Linked DNA regions of Notamacropus eugenii. The protein of the gene in region 1 interacts with the protein of each later gene in a pairwise test. Links are inferred from orthologs where the notes say so. Each region holds a gene or a part of one and is shown on either strand. Other genes may lie near its edges.

What was found.
Region 2: the proteins of TNFAIP3 (region 1) and YWHAH interact in a two-hybrid assay, tested with the Homo sapiens proteins (2 studies listed by BioGRID). The link is inferred for Notamacropus eugenii from reciprocal best matches to the Homo sapiens genes TNFAIP3 and YWHAH.

Annotation. Positions count from the first base shown.
Region 1 is NC_092873.1:224,325,068-224,334,710, reverse strand, and holds the start of TNFAIP3 (tumor necrosis factor alpha-induced protein 3), read right to left. Parts: upstream 6,051-9,643; 5' UTR 5,744-6,050; coding exon 5,669-5,743; intron 5,602-5,668; exon of another isoform or gene 5,123-5,601; intron 4,671-5,122; exon of another isoform or gene 4,331-4,670; coding exon of another isoform or gene 4,298-4,330; intron 1,019-4,297; coding exon 706-1,018; intron 1-705. UniProt on the Homo sapiens protein: Ubiquitin-editing enzyme that contains both ubiquitin ligase and deubiquitinase activities.
Region 2 is NC_092875.1:13,206,181-13,215,823, forward strand, and holds the start of YWHAH (14-3-3 protein eta), read right to left. Parts: upstream 5,158-9,643; 5' UTR 4,865-5,157; coding exon 4,778-4,864; intron 1-4,777. UniProt on the Homo sapiens protein: Adapter protein implicated in the regulation of a large spectrum of both general and specialized signaling pathways. Binds to a large number of partners, usually by recognition of a phosphoserine or phosphothreonine motif.

The sequences.
Region 1 (9,643 bases):
TTTAAGGAGAATCAGACAACTCCATCAGCAGCCTGCAGGGGTCGGGGTGGGGGACCAAATATGCCAGGAATAAAGATCACAAGCAACGATCAATGGAGAAAAGCTCAAAAGTAGGTAAAAAATCTGACATATTTCTATTATTTCTCAGTCAAAGAGTAAGAAATCATCAGATTGTAGATTAAAGCTGGAAAAGGCCTTAGAGCAGCAATTCTCAACCTGGGCATCATAGACCAAGACTATGCAGAGAGATTTCAGGGAGCCCCTGAGTTCTTTAAAACCTTGTTTACTAGGGCCACAATTGGCATTTTTTACAGGTGGTAAACTAGATGTACAAAAGTAAGTAGATGATTTGCCCAAGGTCACACATCACATAAAAGGGCTCTAGCCCAATTCTCTTAATCCTCCAAATGTTCTCTACTCTAACATGTTTTATTAGAAAACATTTCCTTTATAAAACAACACAACACAAAACAAAATCACCTCCTGCTTAGGACACCCCTTAGTGAGGTTCCCATGCCAGCTGAACCATCCAGTTAGGCATTTTACATTTGATTATAAGGGACGTTTAGCTAATGCACATAAACAGATCCACATGGGAGTCTCATCTTGTCATAACCCTCCCACCCCCAAAACCTTAATCAGAATCCTTTATTGGGAGTCCCAGGATCAATCCAAACTCAGGGCTGGAAGGGACCTCAGACTTACCATTCGTTTTTAGTGCCACAAGCTTTCTGACTTCACGGCACCAGTTGAGTTTTCTTTGTCTTTCTAGTGAAGTCTGGATATTTCTGTCAATCAGAGCAACAAGGATAAACTCCCGGAATTGAGGACAAAACTGACAAGTCCGGAACATCTCCACTGTATATCTGTGCATGGTCTTAAAGTGATAAATTATCCCATTGGTAGGTCTGACAATATCTTCTGGAGCTCTCTCTCTTATCTTCACAGATTTCCGCATGTTGCTCAGATACAAAGACTGGGGAAGAACCTGCTGTTCAGCCATGTTGCTGTAGAATACCTGAGAAGGAAAAAACAAAACAAAAAAACCCAATCTGTTAGGTTAGCCTTAATATATCTACCTATAAAAAAGTCAGAGTTCAAATCCTGCCACTACCTTAATATGGAGGCAACTAATTGGAATCCCAGTCGTATCTACTCCCAGGACGCTTGTTGGTACTGAAGTTTTACTAACACTGGACTCTTGCAAGTTACATCACTTTTAAAGATTAATCTGTACTAGAGTAGGAAGAAGGAGAGTGGGCATTGAGGAGGAGGGGAATAACCCATGTTTAAGTAATGCCTGTCACACAGCCAATCCCGCCTGGGAGCAAAGGTATACAGTGTATGTCTCATCATTGGTTCTGACTCTGATGCAGGGGAATGAGGTTCACCAAAAACTAACTACTCAGAATCATAAAACATCAGTGGCCACTGGTTGCCTGTAGGCCCACCCCCAAGTAACAACCAAGAGATCCTATCGCTGCTAGGTTGTTGCCATTTAGAACTTAAGCCCTTTATTTCTTTACTGGTATGGAAAGTGAAAACAATGCTTTTACAAAAGCATCAAACACACTGATCATTTCTTCTTTTTTAGGGCCTAAAACATTTATAAGGAAATTTGAGGTTCAGTGCCATTGAACCACTGATGATGAAAATGTCTCTCAAAAACAATACCTGACATCCTCCCCTCATATATTCCCCAACTCCATTTTTGGAAAGCACTAATCCAAAACTGTAAAATTCCCATATTGTATACCAAGAACTGCTGGAGGCAGAGTCAAGTACATTAAACTAGAAGAATATATAAGCCATAACATATTTTATTTTTTAGAATTTCTTTTTTTCATTATAGATTTAGAGTTGGGTGGGAGGGAAACCTTAGATAGGCCATTTAGTCCAACCCCTTCCCTTCAGAGATGAGGAAACTGAGGCCTAGAGAGTTAAGTAAGTGACTTGCCCACAATCACATAAGTAGTGACTCAGGGAGGATTTAAACCTAGGTCCTGAGTCTAAAGCCTTTCCACTGTACCAGACTGTCTTCTACCTCCACTTATATTTCTCTGGAGCTTAGAAATACTCCCATGAAGTGATGCTCTTATTATTAGAAGTATTATTAGCCTCCATATTATAGATGAGGAAACTGAGGAAGAGGAACTAGGTTAAATGATTTGCTCAAGGTGCACAGTCAGGGAGCACAAGAGCCAAGGAATCTTCCTGACTCCCCAGTCTTGTAACTTTATTCAATATGCCAAACCATCTTCCTGATCAGTCAAACAACAAGTATTTATTATTTGCTGGGCATGATGCTAGGTGTTGGGAATAAAAAAGTTCGATGAAAGCAACAATTCCTACTTTCAAGGAGATTAAATTTCTAATATACTAAAAATTGGTATACAGAGTAGGCAGTCAATAATGCTTCAGAAGGTCCCCAGGATCCCTCAGGTGACACACTGGTCTATAAGAATTAAGCAACTGTAATAGTTAGAATTGGAGTTCAATTATTATTCATCTCCAAATCAATAAAAGCTGGTACTCCAGATGCCAACTACTGGCTCTCTTTTTCACCCCCCAGGGGCCTTCACACCTAATCAAACAGTACAGGAAAATGAGGGCCATGAAGAGGAAATGGAAAGAGCAAAACATAAGAAATATGGAGAAGCAGGGAGGCCAGCAGAGATTATCTTCTAGCTAGGGTGATTTTAGGTTCTAGCTACCAAACCCATTTTGGCTAACGAGTCATAGTGGTGCAAGCACCAGGTGTTTTCATTGCTTCCTTTTCCTATCATCACATATTACTAAAAAAAAAAAAAAAAAAAAGACAATGAAAATCCCCAAACATTTCCCAATTATCCCGGTATTTCCCCAGGTAGTCTCAAAGTATCTCCCTTTCTTTATATGACTCCTGAACCTTCAAGGTGACAAAGATATGCATCAAGAATGAGTTGGCTCTGGTACTGTATCAAGAAAGCCTTTTCACAGCACTCTTCCAAGGCTGAAAGCTAACCTACCTTCCAAGGCAAATATACATATATCTTAGGGATGCTGAGATCCTTGCTTGCTACTTTGGCCTATCATAATGCATAAGGTATTAAGTAATGTAGACATCTGCTACCCTATAGGATTTCAAATTATGGTGATCACTATGAACCCTGACACTTCTTTCATTATTATTATTATAAAAAATGTAAAAGGTTTTTCTCTAGTGGAATTTTTTTCAATGACTTCAATTTCAATTTGACATTGCTATATGTGATTTCAGGTGAATAATTTTTCCTTCCCTCAGCCAAATGTTAAAGTGTTTTTCTCTCTCGATAGCAGGGAGACTGAAGGCTGCAAGTGTGGTCTTTCAAAATGTCCTTGATTTCTCCATCAGAAACATGTTTATAAAACTCTAACCTTCGAGGGAAATAAGATGGGCAGCACTAAATCCCTTGGAGAGAGGAGGTCTTGGCTTGCATCCTGGCAAATCACTTGCACTATTTGGATCTTAACTTCATCTATAAAAAAGGAAGACTTAACACTTACATGACCTCCCTGACAGAATGGCTCTGAGTGAAATGTTTTGTAAATCTTAGATCACTTAAAAATGGGTCACCATAAAAAGGCCTTTAAAGAGTCCTGAAAACATGTGAAGAATGAATCACCCTTTTATTCACTGCTTCTTCTAGTCCCAGAGGTCTTCCTTAAATTGTGAGAGCCAAAATACATCCACACAAACCCATCTTAACATCAATATTCGAGAACATGAACCAACTCAACCATTTACCGCAGTCCTTCATCCTCCAAAAACTACCCACTGAAACAAACAAAAATACCCCCTTCCAAATTTCCAGTTCTTAGACCTCACTCCAGATGGGGCCACGGAGTAAACATTTCTAAAAACAGATGGTTATACACTTGTAGAAGACAAGAAAATAGTCTTATGAATATGTAAAAAAAAAAAGGTGATGTTTTGTAATATTTCTTTGACTCATTTCACAAAAATTTCCCCAAATTCTGTCACTGGGAACTACAAAATTCTTTAGAAGTTATTCATATCTAGAAGCCTCCTCTTTTTTCCTTTTGGTTTTTCTTTTTCTTTTTCCATTTTGCACAGGTGCTTTGGCATGCGAGATGGAAATCTGTGAACTGTATCAACGAAAACCCCAATTCCATTCTGGAAAGCACTCCTCCAAAGCCTTAAATTCCCCAAACTGCTGGAGGCAAGGTCCGGTGCATTAGACTAGAATATCTGCATCACTGACTGGCCCACAACCTGGTCTTTGGATCCTTTAGAGCAGCCAGCACGACGCCTTACCCTTAGCACGGGTTCAACAATTGCTTCATACATGCAGCACTGTGCCTCAGTTTCCCCCAAAGCAATCACTCTTTTCTTTCCTTCCAGTGTTAAAGATCTGTGTCATCATCTCTTAAATCTTTCCCTGTTCATGTCTCAAGACTTCAGGGCTTCCATCGAGGGGAAGGACAGCCAGCTTCTGAAGCCCTTTATCAGCCTGGTTTCCCTAGGAGAAGAGAGCTGCAGGCAGCGGGCTCCGGCCTCAGGCCAGTCCTTCATGCCCCGGCCGTCCTGAAGAGGCCAGGTGGCAGGATGTGGGACAAGCCAGCCCGGCGAAGCTGGCTGACCAGGGCTGGGGGGGGCAGGGCTTTCAGCGTCTGCGGAGCTTTAGAAAGCCAAGAAGCCGACCCCGTCCGCCAAGGCCCCGGGGAGGCGCGGCCCGGGGAGGCGCGGCCCGGGGGCGCGCCGCAGCGTCCTCCGCCTCTGCGCTCTGCACCGCGGGGAATGCCGCGTTCTCCGCGCTCTCCGTGGCCCTGGGCGGACAAGGTGGAATCCCCCTGCGTGACTTCTAATTGCTAGCTTCTAAAGTCGGCGCTTCCACGACTCTAGCTAACGTTCCGTCCCTTTGCAGCTAAAGGTCTCCGCACGATCTCTAATTCATCTTAAAGGCGCAGCCCTTCGGGGGGATCCGGAGGCGCCCCCCGCCCCGGCCTGCCCTCCTCCCCTCCCCGCCCCATCACCACCACAAGCTGCAAGCCAGGGGTCAAGGTCCGTGCCACCCTCGTGCGGCCGGATCGCGCCCACTCCCCTGCAAGGTTTGGGGGCGCAGAGGTAGGTCGGGGTTACCTTGGCGAAGCAGCAGCGAGCGAGCTCCCAACGAAACGCCAAAGTCCCGAATATTTAGTGCACGAGCAGGCCCGGGGCCGACGTGAAGGTCGTAGCGGCGGGGCGCTCCATGGGCAGGCAGGCAGGCAGGCAGCCTGGGGCTCGGCTGCGCTAAGTCCGGCCGGGCCGGCCTCCGGCCGCCTCCACTGCCGTCACCGCTCCCGGACTAGGACTCTCCTCCTCCGCCGCCGGCCTGCTCTCCCAGCTGCTCCACCCCCGCCGGCTCCTAGCCTAGATCCTAGATCCTAGAGCCTAGATCCTAGAACGACTGCGCCAGTTCTCCTTTTTCCTTTCTTTTAGCCAGGGTAATAATATATGAGCCCGGGGATTTCCAGCCTGGGCGCTGGGACTTTCCGACATGTGACTGTGACGCCCAGCGGCGGCTCTCTGCAGAGCACTCGGACCGGGGCGGGCGCGGGTGCAAAGGGCTCTGCCCCGGGCAGGCCGCGCACCGCCGGCCACCAGGGGGCTCCCGCAGGGGCCCGGGGGGCCCGAAAAATTCCTCACCCTTTCAAAGCCGGGGTTGTCCCCGCGTGACTCAACCTGGGCATTTCGGAAGCGCCGGCCGGACGTCATGTCCATGTGGAAATCGCGGTGATGGGAATGAAGACGGTTCTTTTTTTTTCGCCGTCGTTTTTCTTCAAAAAATAAAAACAAAAATCACCTACTTTGGAGAAGAACAAAAAAGCGGAGGGAGGGGGAAACGTGGAAAGAAAGGCCTCGGTTCCGCCCCCGCCGATGACTGCCTCCCCGGGGGCGTCCGGGGGCCGCTTGCTCGGGAAGGGCCCTCGGTGCTCGAGGGAGTTGTCCAGGAATCCCGGGCGGGGGCAGGGGGTGTCACGGTGCCTTCGCCTCCTCCGTCCGGGCTCCCCAGCCATCGGTGCCCCGTAGCCACACCCCCCAGGAGGCAGACCCGGGCCGAGATGCGGAGCTCTCCCGGATTTCAGCCCCACGGGGGGATTGGGACGTGCTGGACCGCAGCACCCCCTTCTCCCTGCTCCTCACCGAAGCCCCAGCCCGTGATTCTGCATCGTCACCAAGGTGCCTCATTGGGACCCCCCACCCACCTCCACCCAAAAGTACCCCGTTCTCTCAAACCTTTTTCTGACCTCCAAGGAGTCCTGTGTCAGCTTCCTTAGAAAACCCCCAGCTGGTGACTGATAAATTTATTGGCGATAGTGACAGGGACTGTGATATGACTGATGCAGGGAACTGCCGAAAGAGGAAACTCCATCCACCGAGGCAGGTTGGCACCTTCTCTGACAGCTGTCATCTCAGAGAGTGGCCAAGAGCCTTGAGTGACTTGCCCAAGGTCCAGCCCAAAGACTGGATTAGATCCTGGCTTTTTCTAGTAAAAAACCACCACCACCACCATCATCACCACCATCACCACCACCACCACCATCACCATCATCCCCACCATCATCATCACCACCATCACCACCACCACCACCACCACCATCATCCCCACCATCATCACCACCACTACTACCACCATCATCACCACCACTACTACCACCACCACCGCCATCATCATCATCATCATCACCACCACCACCACCACCACCACCATCATCCCCACCATCATCACCACCACTACTACCACCACCACCACCATCATCATCACCACCACCATCATTATCATCACCACCACCATCACCACCACCACCACCACCACCATCATCATCACCACCACCATCACCATCATCACCACCATCACCACCATCATCACCGCCACCACCATCATCATCATCATCATCCTTATAGGTAGGATAGTTCAGAAGCTAAAATCTATAGGTTTTAAATCCTGCCTAAGGCATGTATTGAATGTGACCCAGGTCAAGTCATTTAACCTGGAAGGCAAAGTTGAAGAGAAGGTATTACCTGCATTGGCAAAGGGAGTTCTCTGTATCAATGGAATCAGAGATTCAGTATCTATCACAATTATTATTACTGGTAGTAGTGGCCAGAATAATAGCCTATGTGTATGGAAAGGGCACAAAACACTTTCAAGCATTGTCAATCAATCAAAATGTATTGTTTTTTACTGAAAAAGCTATCAAGATTTATTCTCATAGTGAGAATCACTGATGGAGGCGTCTGTTGGACATTTTTATGCTAAAAACTTTTCTCCCAGGCATTGGCATTCAAATATATGCCATTTATTGTGCAATGCTCACGTTTAAAGTATGTCAACCCACATCACTTATTGAGTATTGATAATGTGCATAATGCTGGAATATACTTATGGTCTGTACCATCTACTTTGGTACATAATTATACATGATAGTAAATCATTAGCTGTGTTATGAGTTGGACTTATTTCTCCCAAATGATTGTAAATTCCTTGAGAAAATGAGATTAGATGGTTTCTAAGATCCCTCAAAGTTCTCAATCTATGTCAGTCAATATTTATTAAACAGCTCCTATGTACCAAGCATTATGTTAAGCACTGGAGATGCAAAAAAAGGCAAAAGATGGTCCCTGCTTTCCAGGAGCTTATAATCTAATGGAGGATGCAACATGTAAGCAAATATATACAAAGCTATATGCAAGGTAAATAGGAAATAATTAAGAAATGGAAGCCACTAGAATTTAGAGGCATTGGGAGAGACTTCCTGTAAAAATGGGATTTCAGTTGGGACTTAAAGGAAATCAGGGAAATCAGTGGGTGGAGTTGAAGAGAGAGAGCATCCCAGACATGGATGACAGCCAGAGAAAATACTCCAGCCAAGAGATGAGGGGTCTTGTCTGTGGAACAGCCAGGAGGCCAGTGTCACTGAATCAAAGTATACCTGGTGGGGGGAGTAAGGTGGAAGAAGACTGAAATGGTAGAAAACATTGAGTTTATGAAGGGTTTTGAATGCCCAGAACATTTTGATTTTGATCTCGGAGGTGATAGGGAGCTAATGATATTTATAGAGTAGGGGAGTGTCTTGGTTGCACCTACTCTTTAGGAAAATCACTTTGGTGACTGAAAAGAGGATGGATTGGAGTGGAGAGAGATTTGAGGCAGATAGACCCACCAGCAGGCAGGCCATTGCATAATCCAGGCATGAAGGGATGATGGCCTCCATTAGAGTGGTAGCAGTATCAGAAAGAGGCATATACCACTGGTACTACAAAGTCAAAATCCATAGACTTTGTTAACAGATTGGTTACAGGGAGGGAGAGATAGTGAGGAGTCCATGATAACTTCTAGGTTGGGAGCCTGAGGGACTAGGAAGATTGTGTTGCTCTCTATAGTAATAGGGAAGGTGAGAGAGGGGGACGGTTTAAGGGGAAAGATAATGATTTCTGTTTTGGACATTTTAGCTTAAAATGTATACAGGACATCTAGTTTGAAATGTCTGAAAGGCATTTGGATATGGGAAACTGGAGGCCAGCTGAGGGTTTGGGACAGGATAGGTAGATTTGAGAATCATCCTCATCATCAAGACAGCAATTAAATCCACTGGAGCTGGTGAGATCATCAAGTATAGTAGTGTAGAGGGAGAAGAGAAGAGGCCCGAGACAGAACCTGGAGGAACACCTCAGGCACACCTTAGAAGTCATGATCTGGATGCGGATTCAGCAAAGGAGACTGAGAAGGAGCAGTCAGATAGGCTGAAGGAGAACCAGGAGAGACCAGTGTTCTAAAAACCTCGAGAAAAGAGAAATTAAGATGGAGAAAGTCATCAACATTTTCAAAGGCTGCAGAGAGATCAAGGAGATTGAGGACTGGAAAAGGCCACTAGATTTGGCAGTGGATTGGTAATTTTGCAGAGAGCAGTTTAAGTGGAATGATAAGGTCAGAAACTGAATTGTAAGCAGGTAAGAAGAGTAGGGAAGGAAAGTGGTTAGATAGAGGGGATGGTCAAGGGTTGTTGTTGTTTTTGAGGATGCAAGAGAAGTGGGCATATTTGTAGGCCATAGGGAATGAGCCTATAGACAGGGAGAGATTAAAAATAACTGATAGAGTGGGGATGACTGTCGGAGGAGATAGGAAGCAATGGGATTGATTAAACAGGCAAAAAGGGTTACCTTTAGTAAGAAGTAAGGCCATCTCATCATGTGAGACAGAAGCGCAGGAGTAGATAGTGGCAGAAGCCATTTGAATGACAAAATGGCCTCAGTTTTTTTTTCTGTAAAATATGATATCGGGAACTTAGCTGAGAAGTTGGGGGAAGTCCAACCTAGGGGTGGTTTGAGAGAGTAGGATAGTGAATCAATAAGGGAAGTATAGTAGGATTGCCTAGCAGTGGTGAGGGCTTATTTCAGGTTGTATAATATAAATTTGTAGTGAACCCAATCATAATAGTTGAGTGATTTTTCCTTCTTTCTTTGCTCAATTGCACATATATAGGAGTGAAGACATTGAATGGTGAGAGTGATCCAAGACTAAAGCTTGGCAGGGGAGTAAGCCTAGGGTCTGGAGATACCAGCTATCAGGATTTTGATTGGGTTCTAGAAATGAATAGCACGAATCTCAAAGGGAAAAGA
Region 2 (9,643 bases), on another chromosome or scaffold:
GGTCAACACATGTGAAGTTCAAGTGTGTACTTACCTAACAACTGATCAGCTATCAGAAAAGTATGAACGGTGTCCTACCATGTGGATATGAGGTGTGGCTTTACTTTTAATACACAAACTTAAGAGTTCCCAGGTCTAAATTTAGTGGATCCTACACACAAGGCATGAAATTCAGGCACTGGGGGTAGGACATAAATTAACCAATGTGAAACCTACCACCAAGGCTGGAGTGAAGAAGATCTGAGTTCAAATCTTGCCTCAGACACTTACTAGTTTAATGACTCAGGGCAAGTCATTTAACCCTTGTTTGTTTCCTCAGCTGCAAAAATTGTGGATAATAACAGCACTTTCTTCCCCTGGGCTCTTGTGAGGATCAAATGAGACAATATTATAAATCTTAAAGGGCTATCTAAATGCCAGTTATAATTATTATAAATCCCCAACGAAAGGGGAAAACAAGTCAGTTTTGAGTATTGTAATTGTAGGTGAGTTTCCTCAAGGGGGAACAAAAAGAATTTATATAATGGAAGGAAAAGCAGGAAGGGAGAAAGCTAAACTACTCCACTGACTGGAGGTGAAAAAGACCCCAGGGCCTGAGGTCCCATCACTCTTGCCAGGCAGGCCACTCGCTGGTGAGAGGATCGTACTTTCTCACCAGTTTTCAACTCAGGCAACTTGAGAGAGTGAAAAAAAAGAAGAGCCAGCTCAGATCTCCTAAGATACAGGACAAAGCTGCCATTATAGCCCTCCTTCTGCACTGGCCAGTAGGAAGTGGGGCTCACTCACAGCCTTTCTTCTAGAATGTTTCAGGCACATGGCTCCAGACCTTCAGGAGTCAAGGATCAAGGCTTCAGCCAGCGTGCAAAGGCCTCACTGGTGCCTTCTGCAGCTCAGCATTCCCCGCTGGCTTCTGTCCTCACTCCCCCAGTGCATACACCACTTGCTTCATCTGCTGTCACATGATCTGTCTCCAGCTGTTGGGCCAAGAGCCTCATGGCCCCAGCTGAGCCCACAAGGGTCTCTTCCTCTCTGGCTTCTTCCTCAAGTGCCTCCCATTTCTTGGTTTTAAGACCTCAAGAGATTCCAACTTCTCCAGCCTTCATACATGTGCAACCTACAACCAGTTTGAGACACAGCCTGATACACTGCCTCCGGTAAATTCTGACTGGCTTTTGTAATTTCATACAAATCTATGCCCATTTCTCAATTCTAATTTAAAATGAGCAATCTTGGGCAATGGGAATTAGCTGTCCATTAACACTTTCCATCTTGGATAATCACCCTTAACTTGATTAGAGGTCTGCTCCCTTCAGTTCCTTAAATATTAAAAACCTTCCATAACTTCCCAGTTTTATCAGAACACAACCATTGCAAATTTCCCACAGCATTTTTCAAAAGGGCACCCCCTTTTAGCTTTCAATCTGGGGGAAGGGGAGGCAGATAGAATAAGCAGATAGGATAAGATCAAATATGATCTTATCTAAGGTACCACGCCAAGTGTGAGTCAACACTTGAACCCAGGTCTCCTGACTCCCAAATCCAAGTCTCTTACCTATTCTAATTCTTTGTCAGTGGGTTAACTGCACACTCCCATCCCCAGATTTCAAACTGTAAAGGCCCTCCAAGGTCATCCAATAAAACTTCATGTTACAGATGAGAAAACTGAGGTAAAGTGGTTTTCCCAAGGTCACACAGTACTGGAACCCAGGGCCTCTGACCTTCCATCTAGCACTCTTCTCACTGAACTGAACCACTCTTGTCTTCCGTGAACAGAAAATAAGCCTGGACCTAAGTTAAGGCCACAGAGAAAGCTCAGGATTGTTCCTTCTCTAGCTACCACTATCATGGATGGAAGGAAAAGTCTGTTTTACTGAATGATCTGGACACCAATGTCTGAAATGCACCTATGCTGCTTCAAAATTTAACTAGAGGATCCCTCTGGTTGGTAATGACTCCAACCAAGGAACAAATCCAAAAACTGGAAACAAACAAGAAATCAAGGGCACCAATGTGAGGATGTTGTCCACATCCGACGCTTCCCCGAAGGTATGTATTTGTTGTTGTTCAGTTTTGTTGGGCTCTTCAGGACCCCTTTGGAGGTTTTTTTTGGCATGGATACTGGAGTGGTTTTGCCATTTCCTTTTCCAGCCCATTTTACAGAGAAGGAAACTGAGGCAAACACGGTCAAGTGGCTTGCCCAGGGTCACACAGCGACCGTCTGAGGTTGGATTTGAACTCAGGTCTCCCTAACTCCAGGCCCAGCACTCTATCCATCTGAATGCCCTAATAGTATGTATTTTATAAATAGGGGGATATGTTGTCTACTGCTCCCCAAGTTCTTTCCAATGAATATCCCCCCAGTAATTTGACTAGGAAAAAACTGAAATAACTCAGAATTCAGAAAACGGAAAAATAGGGCATCATGTTAAAGCAATGCACAGAACAGAATCATCCTGGGAAAAGTGACGTTTGAATAACTGGAATGACTTGTCCAAAAAAAAAAAAATCAATCATCTCGGAGGAAGACTATTCCCAGGACAGTGACGGGCCCATTAATCTGCAAGAAGCTAAATTAAAGCCTCCTTACAAAACTGCTGAGTAATAGGATCAGGCTTGCAGGGTGGGGTCCTCCATCTTCTTGTGAGGAGGATGTGGGGTCCCATTCTTTCTGCTTTCCAAACAGCACTCAATGTTCTAGAGCCCTCAAATGTCTGTCAGGGGCCTGGGAAATCCCAAATGCTATCCCCATTCAGTCAGTTTCTCAAAAGATTCTGGAGCCAGAGTGGCCCTGTGTTCAGGTCCTGCCTCTGTGTGACCTTGAACACAGCCCTCAACCTCTTGAGGCCTCAGACTGAAACTAAGGGCACAGGTGGGGTGGTCTTTCAGGCGTCTTCAATCTCTGCTTGGGTGATCCTGCCTTCATTTTCCTGCCCTCTTAAAATCACAATATGTTAAAGCTAAGAGAGTTGAGTATTCTAGCCCTGCCCCCTCCTCCTAACTTCCACTCTGCAGCTTTGGACACTGGGGCTCAGGGAAAGTCAGGGACCTGCCCAAGGTCACCTTGGTCACCAGCAGAGCCACACCTGAACTCCCAACCCAGCCCCTCCCTCTGGGCTCCCTTGAACAGTTTCACCCTCCTTCTGACCACTGGGCATTCTCTTCAGACCTTGTGGGATCAAGGATTCCCACAGGAAAGGGGGAAGAGCCCCTAAATCCGACACCAGAGCATCAGCCCTAGAAAGGTCCCTGTCTGCAGTGTGACATTTTATCATGTGGAAAAAAAAGATGAAATCCATACAGCCCCAAAGCCCCTCAGCAAACCGCTCACCACAGGCTGCCAGCCCACAGAGCTGGGGTGGAGAGCTCTAAGCGGCAGGCCATTCAGAGTAAGACAGCCACCAAACAATAAGAGGTGTCCGACAACGGAAAGGGCTGCCTCCATTCAGACCCACACCGGAGGCACCTACTACCATGTGTGTGCGGGGCCCCTTACCCACAAAGACACAAACTGAAACGGGGCCTGCCCTCTGACGCATCAAAGTGCCAACATCCTGATAATGAAATACAAGATAATTTGGGAAGGAAGAAGTCTGGTCTCCAAGACCAGGAGGGTTTTCAGAAGAACCAAGTCTCAAAAGAAGATGGAGGCTCTGGGCGGCTTTAGGGGGTGGGGAAAAGGGAGAGAAGAGCTGGGGGGTCTTCTAGGTGGTCAGTGAGAGGAAGCCCAGTTCTCTCACAACTACTTCAGTAAGAAGGCCAGACTGAACAATGATCAATTCCCCAATGGCGGAAGCTGATGCAGAAGGTGGGGTACAGCCAGGGACGGGGGTGCCCAGGGTAGAGCATGGGAGGCAGGTGGGAGTCGGACTGGGGGGGCTCCCAGAAGCGCCAGGGAGGCTGGAGCCAGGGTGTGTCACCACCAGCAGGGAGCCAAGGCTTGGGCACAGTCAAGGGGGATGCCAAGGTCACCAATGGGGGGCCTGGGAAGAGGGAGGGCAGGAGAACCTGGGGAAAGATGGTGATGGGGCAGACACACCCAGGGAGGAGCCCCCACCTCTGCCCCGGGCAGAGGCCAGCAGGTTAGGAGCTCCCGAGGACAGGGCCTGTCTTTCCCCTTTTTGTGCCCCCAGGGCACACAGTGGGCACTTCGTAAGTGCTTAAGGACTGAGTCTCCTCCGGCTCTAAGATGCCCCAAACCCGCGTGCCCGGGCTGGGGGCGCTGCCCCCGAGCACCTCTACAGGCCAGGCGGAGGGCCGGCACGTGAGGACAGGGAGGACTCCCAGTTCTCTGGGCCCCCCGAAGAGGCGGGTGCGGGAACCCTCTTCTGGGCACGGCTGGGCTCGCAGCACCGCGGAGAGCCGGACCAAGGGGGATGCACGCACCGCGGGGGACCCCAGGCAGGGCGTGGCCAGCTGCAGCCCCCCGCAGACACCAAGTGGCACCTCAAACCTGAGGGCCCCCGCTGGGGTACAGGGGCAGCAGCGGGGTGACAGGGCGCCAAGGCCTGCCAAAGGCGGGCTCGGCCCGGCCGGCCGCCCCTCCCCCAGCCCGGGCTCAGGGACCTCCGGGAGCGTCCCAAGGCGGGGGGCACGGAGGGGGATGCGCTGGGGGCTGAGCCTGGGCGGGAGGGGCATCGGGGGGCAGGGAGCGCGGGCTGCGGACCCGCAGCAAACGACCCCGGGCCTCCGCGGGGGGCCCAGCCCGCCCCCGCCCCCGCCCCTCCCGCGCGCTCCCGGCCGCCCCGCGCGCCCCCGCCGCCCGCGCACGCGCACTCACCGCCTTCATGGCGGAGGCCATGTCGTCGTAGCGCTCCGCCTGCTCGGCCAGCCGCGCGCGCTGCAGCAGCTGCTCCCGGTCCCCCATGCCGCCGCTCCCGCCGCCCGCTCGGGCCGCTCCGCCGCCGCCGCCCCGCGGCTCCTCGTCAGGCCCGGCCGGCCTGGGCTGGGCTCCTCGGCCACGTGCGCCCGCGCCTCGGGCGGCTCCGGCTCGGCTCGGGCGGCTCCCGGGCTGGGGCCGCGGCCCGACGGGGAGAGCGCGGGGCCGAGGCGAGGGAGCGGAGGGCGAGGAGAGGGAGGCTCGCGCCGCCGCCGCCGCCGCTGCTCTGACGGGCTGGCGCTGCTGCCGCCGCCGAAGCCAGGCTGAGGCTGCCGCGGCCGGGCGGGAGGGGCGGGGAGCAGGAGGAGGGGCCGGCTCGGGGGCAGGGCCGCGGGCGGGAGGCGGCGGGCGCGCCCTGTGCGCCTGCGCAGTGCGCACCGCCCGGCCCGCCGGCGCGGAGCCCCGCCCACGGGGAGAGGGGGAGGGCGGGCGGGCCCGCCCAGAAGGGCGACTTCTGGGTGACGTCACCCGCTAGAAATAGCGCCTCCGCGCTCTCCGCGGCCCCGCCCGGCCGGAGCCGAGCCGGACGCATGCGCCCTGTCCGTGGTGCAGTTTGGTGCGGCAAAGGTGGAGGTGGGAGCCTGGAGGGGCGGGGACTGCGGAGCGGGAGCGCTCGGCGGGGGGCCGGGAGCCGCCCTGCTCTGCTAACCTTGGCCGGAGCCCTGCCCCCACCGCAGGGCGGGCGAGAGCTACAGATGGCTGTTCTCTATCTGTGTGTAATATATGTAATAGAGGGTTATGATGATAGTTACAATGTTACAGTGAGATGTACGTGCATGTATATGTGGGTGTTAAAGGACTTCAGTAAGAACAGGCTTCTCGTGCCCCGAGAAGGGCCCATGGGCTTCACGCACTGCCCGAGGGGTCCTGGACAAGACCGAGGGAGACACTCTGCTGCCGAGCATCTCTCAGGCCCCTCCAGCCCTGACCTCCCCTGTTCTGAGCCCCCTCCAGCCCTGACACCCCCTGTTCTGAGCCCCCTCCAGCCCTGACACCCCCTGTTCTGAGCCCCCTCCCAGCCCTGACACCCCTTGTTCTGAGACCCCTCCAGCCCTGACACCCCCTGTTCTGAGCCCCCTCCCAGCCCTGACACCCCCTGTTCTGAGGCCCCTCCAGCCCTGACACCCCCTGTTCTGAGACCCCTCCAGCCCTGACACCCCCTGTTCTGAGGCCCCTCCAGCCCTGACACCCCCTGTTCTGAGACCCCTCCAGCCCTGACACCCCCTGTTCTGAGACCCCTCCAGCCCTGACACCCCCTGTTCTGAGCCCCCTCCAGCCCTGACACCCCCTGTTCTGAGGCCCCTCCCAACCCTGACACCCCCTGTTCTCAGGCCCCTCCCAGCCCTGACACCCCCTGTTCTGAGCCCCCTCCAGCCCTGACACCCCCTGTTCTGAGACCCCTCCCAGCCCTGACCTCCCCTGGCCTGAGGCCCCTCCAGCCCTGACACCCCCTGTTCTGAGGCCCCTCCAGCCCTGACACCCCCTGTTCTGAGACCCCTCCAGCCCTGACACCCCCTGTTCTGAGACCCCTCCAGCCCTGACACCCCCTGTTCTGAGACCCCTCCAGCCCTGACACCCCCTGTTCTGAGACCCCTCCAGCCCTGACACCCCCTGTTCTGAGCCCCCTCCAGCCCTGACACCCCCTGTTCTGAGGCCCCTCCCAACCCTGACACCCCCTGTTCTGAGGCCCCTCCCAACCCTGACACCCCCTGTTCTGAGCCCCCTCCAGCCCTGACACCCCCTGTTCTGAGACCCCTCCCAGCCCTGACCTCCCCTGGCCTGAGGCCCCTCCAGCCCTGACACCCCCTGTTCTGAGGCCCCTCCAGCCCTGACACCCCCTGTTCTGAGACCCCTCCAGCCCTGACACCCCCTGTTCTGAGACCCCTCCAGCCCTGACACCCCCTGTTCTGAGACCCCTCCAGCCCTGACACCCCCTGTTCTGAGACCCCTCCCAGCCCTGACACCCCCTGTTCTGAGCCCCCTCCCAGCCCTGACATCCCCTGTTCTGAGACCCCTCCAGCCCTGACACCCCCTGTTCTCAGGCCCCTCCAGCCCTGACCTCCCCTGGTATGAGGCCCCTCCAGCCCTGACCTCCCCTGGTATGAGGCCCCTCCCAGCCCTGACATCCCCTGTTCTAAGGCCCCTCCCAACCCTGACACCCCCTGGCCTGAGACCCCTCCAGCCCTGACCTCCCCTGGCCTGAGACCCCTCCAGCCCTGACCTCCCCTGTTCTGAGGCCCCTCCAGCCCTGACCTCCCCTGGCCTGAGGCCCCTCCAGCCCTGACCCCCCTGGCCTGAGGCCCCTCCAGCCCTGACCCCCCCTGGCCTGAGGCCCCTCCAGCCCTGACACCCCCTGTTCTGAGACCCCTCCCAGCCCTGACCTCCCCTGGTATGAGGCCCCTCCCAGCCCTGACATCCCCTGTTCTAAGGCCCCTCCCAACCCTGACACCCCCTGTTCTGAGACCCCTCCCAGCCCTGACACCCCCTGTTCTGAGACCCCTCCAGCCCTGACACCCCCTGTTCTGAGACCCCTCCAGCCCTGACCCCCCCTGGCCTGAGGCCCCTCCCAGCCCTGACACCCCCTGTTCTGAGGCCCCTCCAGCCCTGACACCCCCTGTTCTGAGACCCCTCCCAGCCCTGACACCCCCTGTTCTGAGGCCCCTCCAGCCCTGACCTCCCCTGGCCTGAGGCCCCTCCCAGCCCTGACACCCCCTGTTCTGAGGTCCCTCCAGCCCTGACACCCCCTGTTCTCAGGCCCCTCCAGCCCTGACACCCCCTGTTCTGAGACCCCTCCCAGCCCTGACCTCCCCTGTTCTAAGGCCCCTCCCAGCCCTGACATCCCCTATTCTGAGGCCCCTCTCAACCCTGACATTCTGTGCTAGAAACCAACAGGACCGGGTTCCAGAGTACTTGGAGGGGAGTAATAGGCAGTGGGCATGAGGCAGGTGATGTAGGACTTTGAATAGCAAACAGGATTTGATTAGATTTTATTCTGGAGGCCCTAGGGAGCCACTGGAGCTTGTTGAACAGGGGAGTGTCCAGGTCAGACTTCAGTTTAGTGGCTGAATGGAGGCTGGACTAGAGGGGGAGAGATTAGGGAGGCAGCCCTGCAGCTTGGGCCGTAGCCCAGGTGGTCAGTGTTGGGGGCCGCTGGGTGGGAGCAGGGTCAGAGAAGAGAAGGGGGCTGATTGCAGAGATGCTGACAGCCATCCAAAGTATTACCCAAAGCACACCAACACCTCCAGCAATTTTTCTCAGTTACCGAATGATTCCGTCACAGTTGCCATGGGAAGCAGTGTGGTGCCTTGGAAGAAGACAGAAATATGGACCTAGAAGACTTTGGGTTCAAATCCCAGTTTTGCTGCTTGTGGGGCCTCATGAAAGTCTCTCTGTGACCTCCCTGAGACTCATTTTCCACACCTGTAAAATGGAGACATCCAGCCAAACTGTTGCTGTGGCCCCTTCCAGCTCACCATGTCTGCTGCTGTGGTTCAGGGTGAGCAGAGGGAAGCTGCCTCCATCCAATCTCCCAGGAAAGCTGGAATGCAATAGTAATTATGATGTGGGCCTCACTTTGCAGCTTCAGTGGGGAAGGAACAGCCTGGTTTTCTAACCTCAATCCTATTTCCTTTTCTAGGCCTCACATAGGACAGGGAAGCCAAGGTAAGGTGAGTGGTGCAGGCTCCCCAGCAGCCCTTCTCTTGGGCCTGATGTCCATACTATTCTATCCTTACAGGGTCTCATTTCCCCAGGACCATATACAGAACCAACCCTAGAACCAACAGCCCCCTCCCCCTCTCTTCTTGCGATCCAACCAAGGTCCATTAATCAATACAAAGCATTTATTAATCAGCCAGAACAAGCATTTATTAAGTGCATACTTCACTAGGCTAGAAGACAGAGACAAAAATGAAAATCTCTGCCTTCAAAAAGGAGCTTACATTCTGTTGAGGGAATTAGAAGGGGACATTCTGTACCCAAAAATTAAATACCAGAAGCTTGAAGGAGGGGGTGGGGCAAAAGCAGCTGGAGGCTGGAGGGTGATTCATGTAGAAAATGGAGCTTGAGAAGGAATCCAGAAACCATCTGGTCCAATGTCCTCATTTTACAGATGAGGAAACTGAGGCACAGAGGCATTAAGTCACCTCGCTCCCTCTCACTCCTATGCATCTTTCCTCTTGAAGGGATTGAAAAGAATTCCAAGAAGAGCAGGTGAGGTGAGGAGTTAGACTGTGTAAGACTGGACGGGCCCTCTCAGTGACTAAGAGAGAAGTCTACATTTGCTTCTAGAGGTCAACCACTTCAGGGCAACCACTGGAGTTTATTGATTAAGAAATTGTCATGCTCAGACCTGGGATTTTGGAAAAATCACCTTGGCAACTCTATAAGGGTACATTGAAGACCAGAGGAACTTGATGCTGGACTTCCAGGCCTGGCTCTTCCCCTCCCTGTGCCTCAGTTTCCCCATTGTCAAGATGACTTGCCTCCATCCTGCCTTACCTGGTTTTGGAGATTTCATTTACAAAATGAAAAGTCAGGGACTGGTTTGGAGGTCAGAAAACCTGAAGTCAAGTCCTGATTGGGTCACTTCCTACCCCCACCGGGAGGTAAGCCTCTGAGGGCAGGGCTGGGTTTTCCTTTTGTATCTCTTCTCCATCCTTATCTTTCCTCCCTGCCAATAGGGCCTTGCCCAGAGCAGAGGCTTCATCTATCTTTGTTGGGTTGGATGGCAGGACCTTGGACAAACCTTGCTGTTACCTCCTCTGT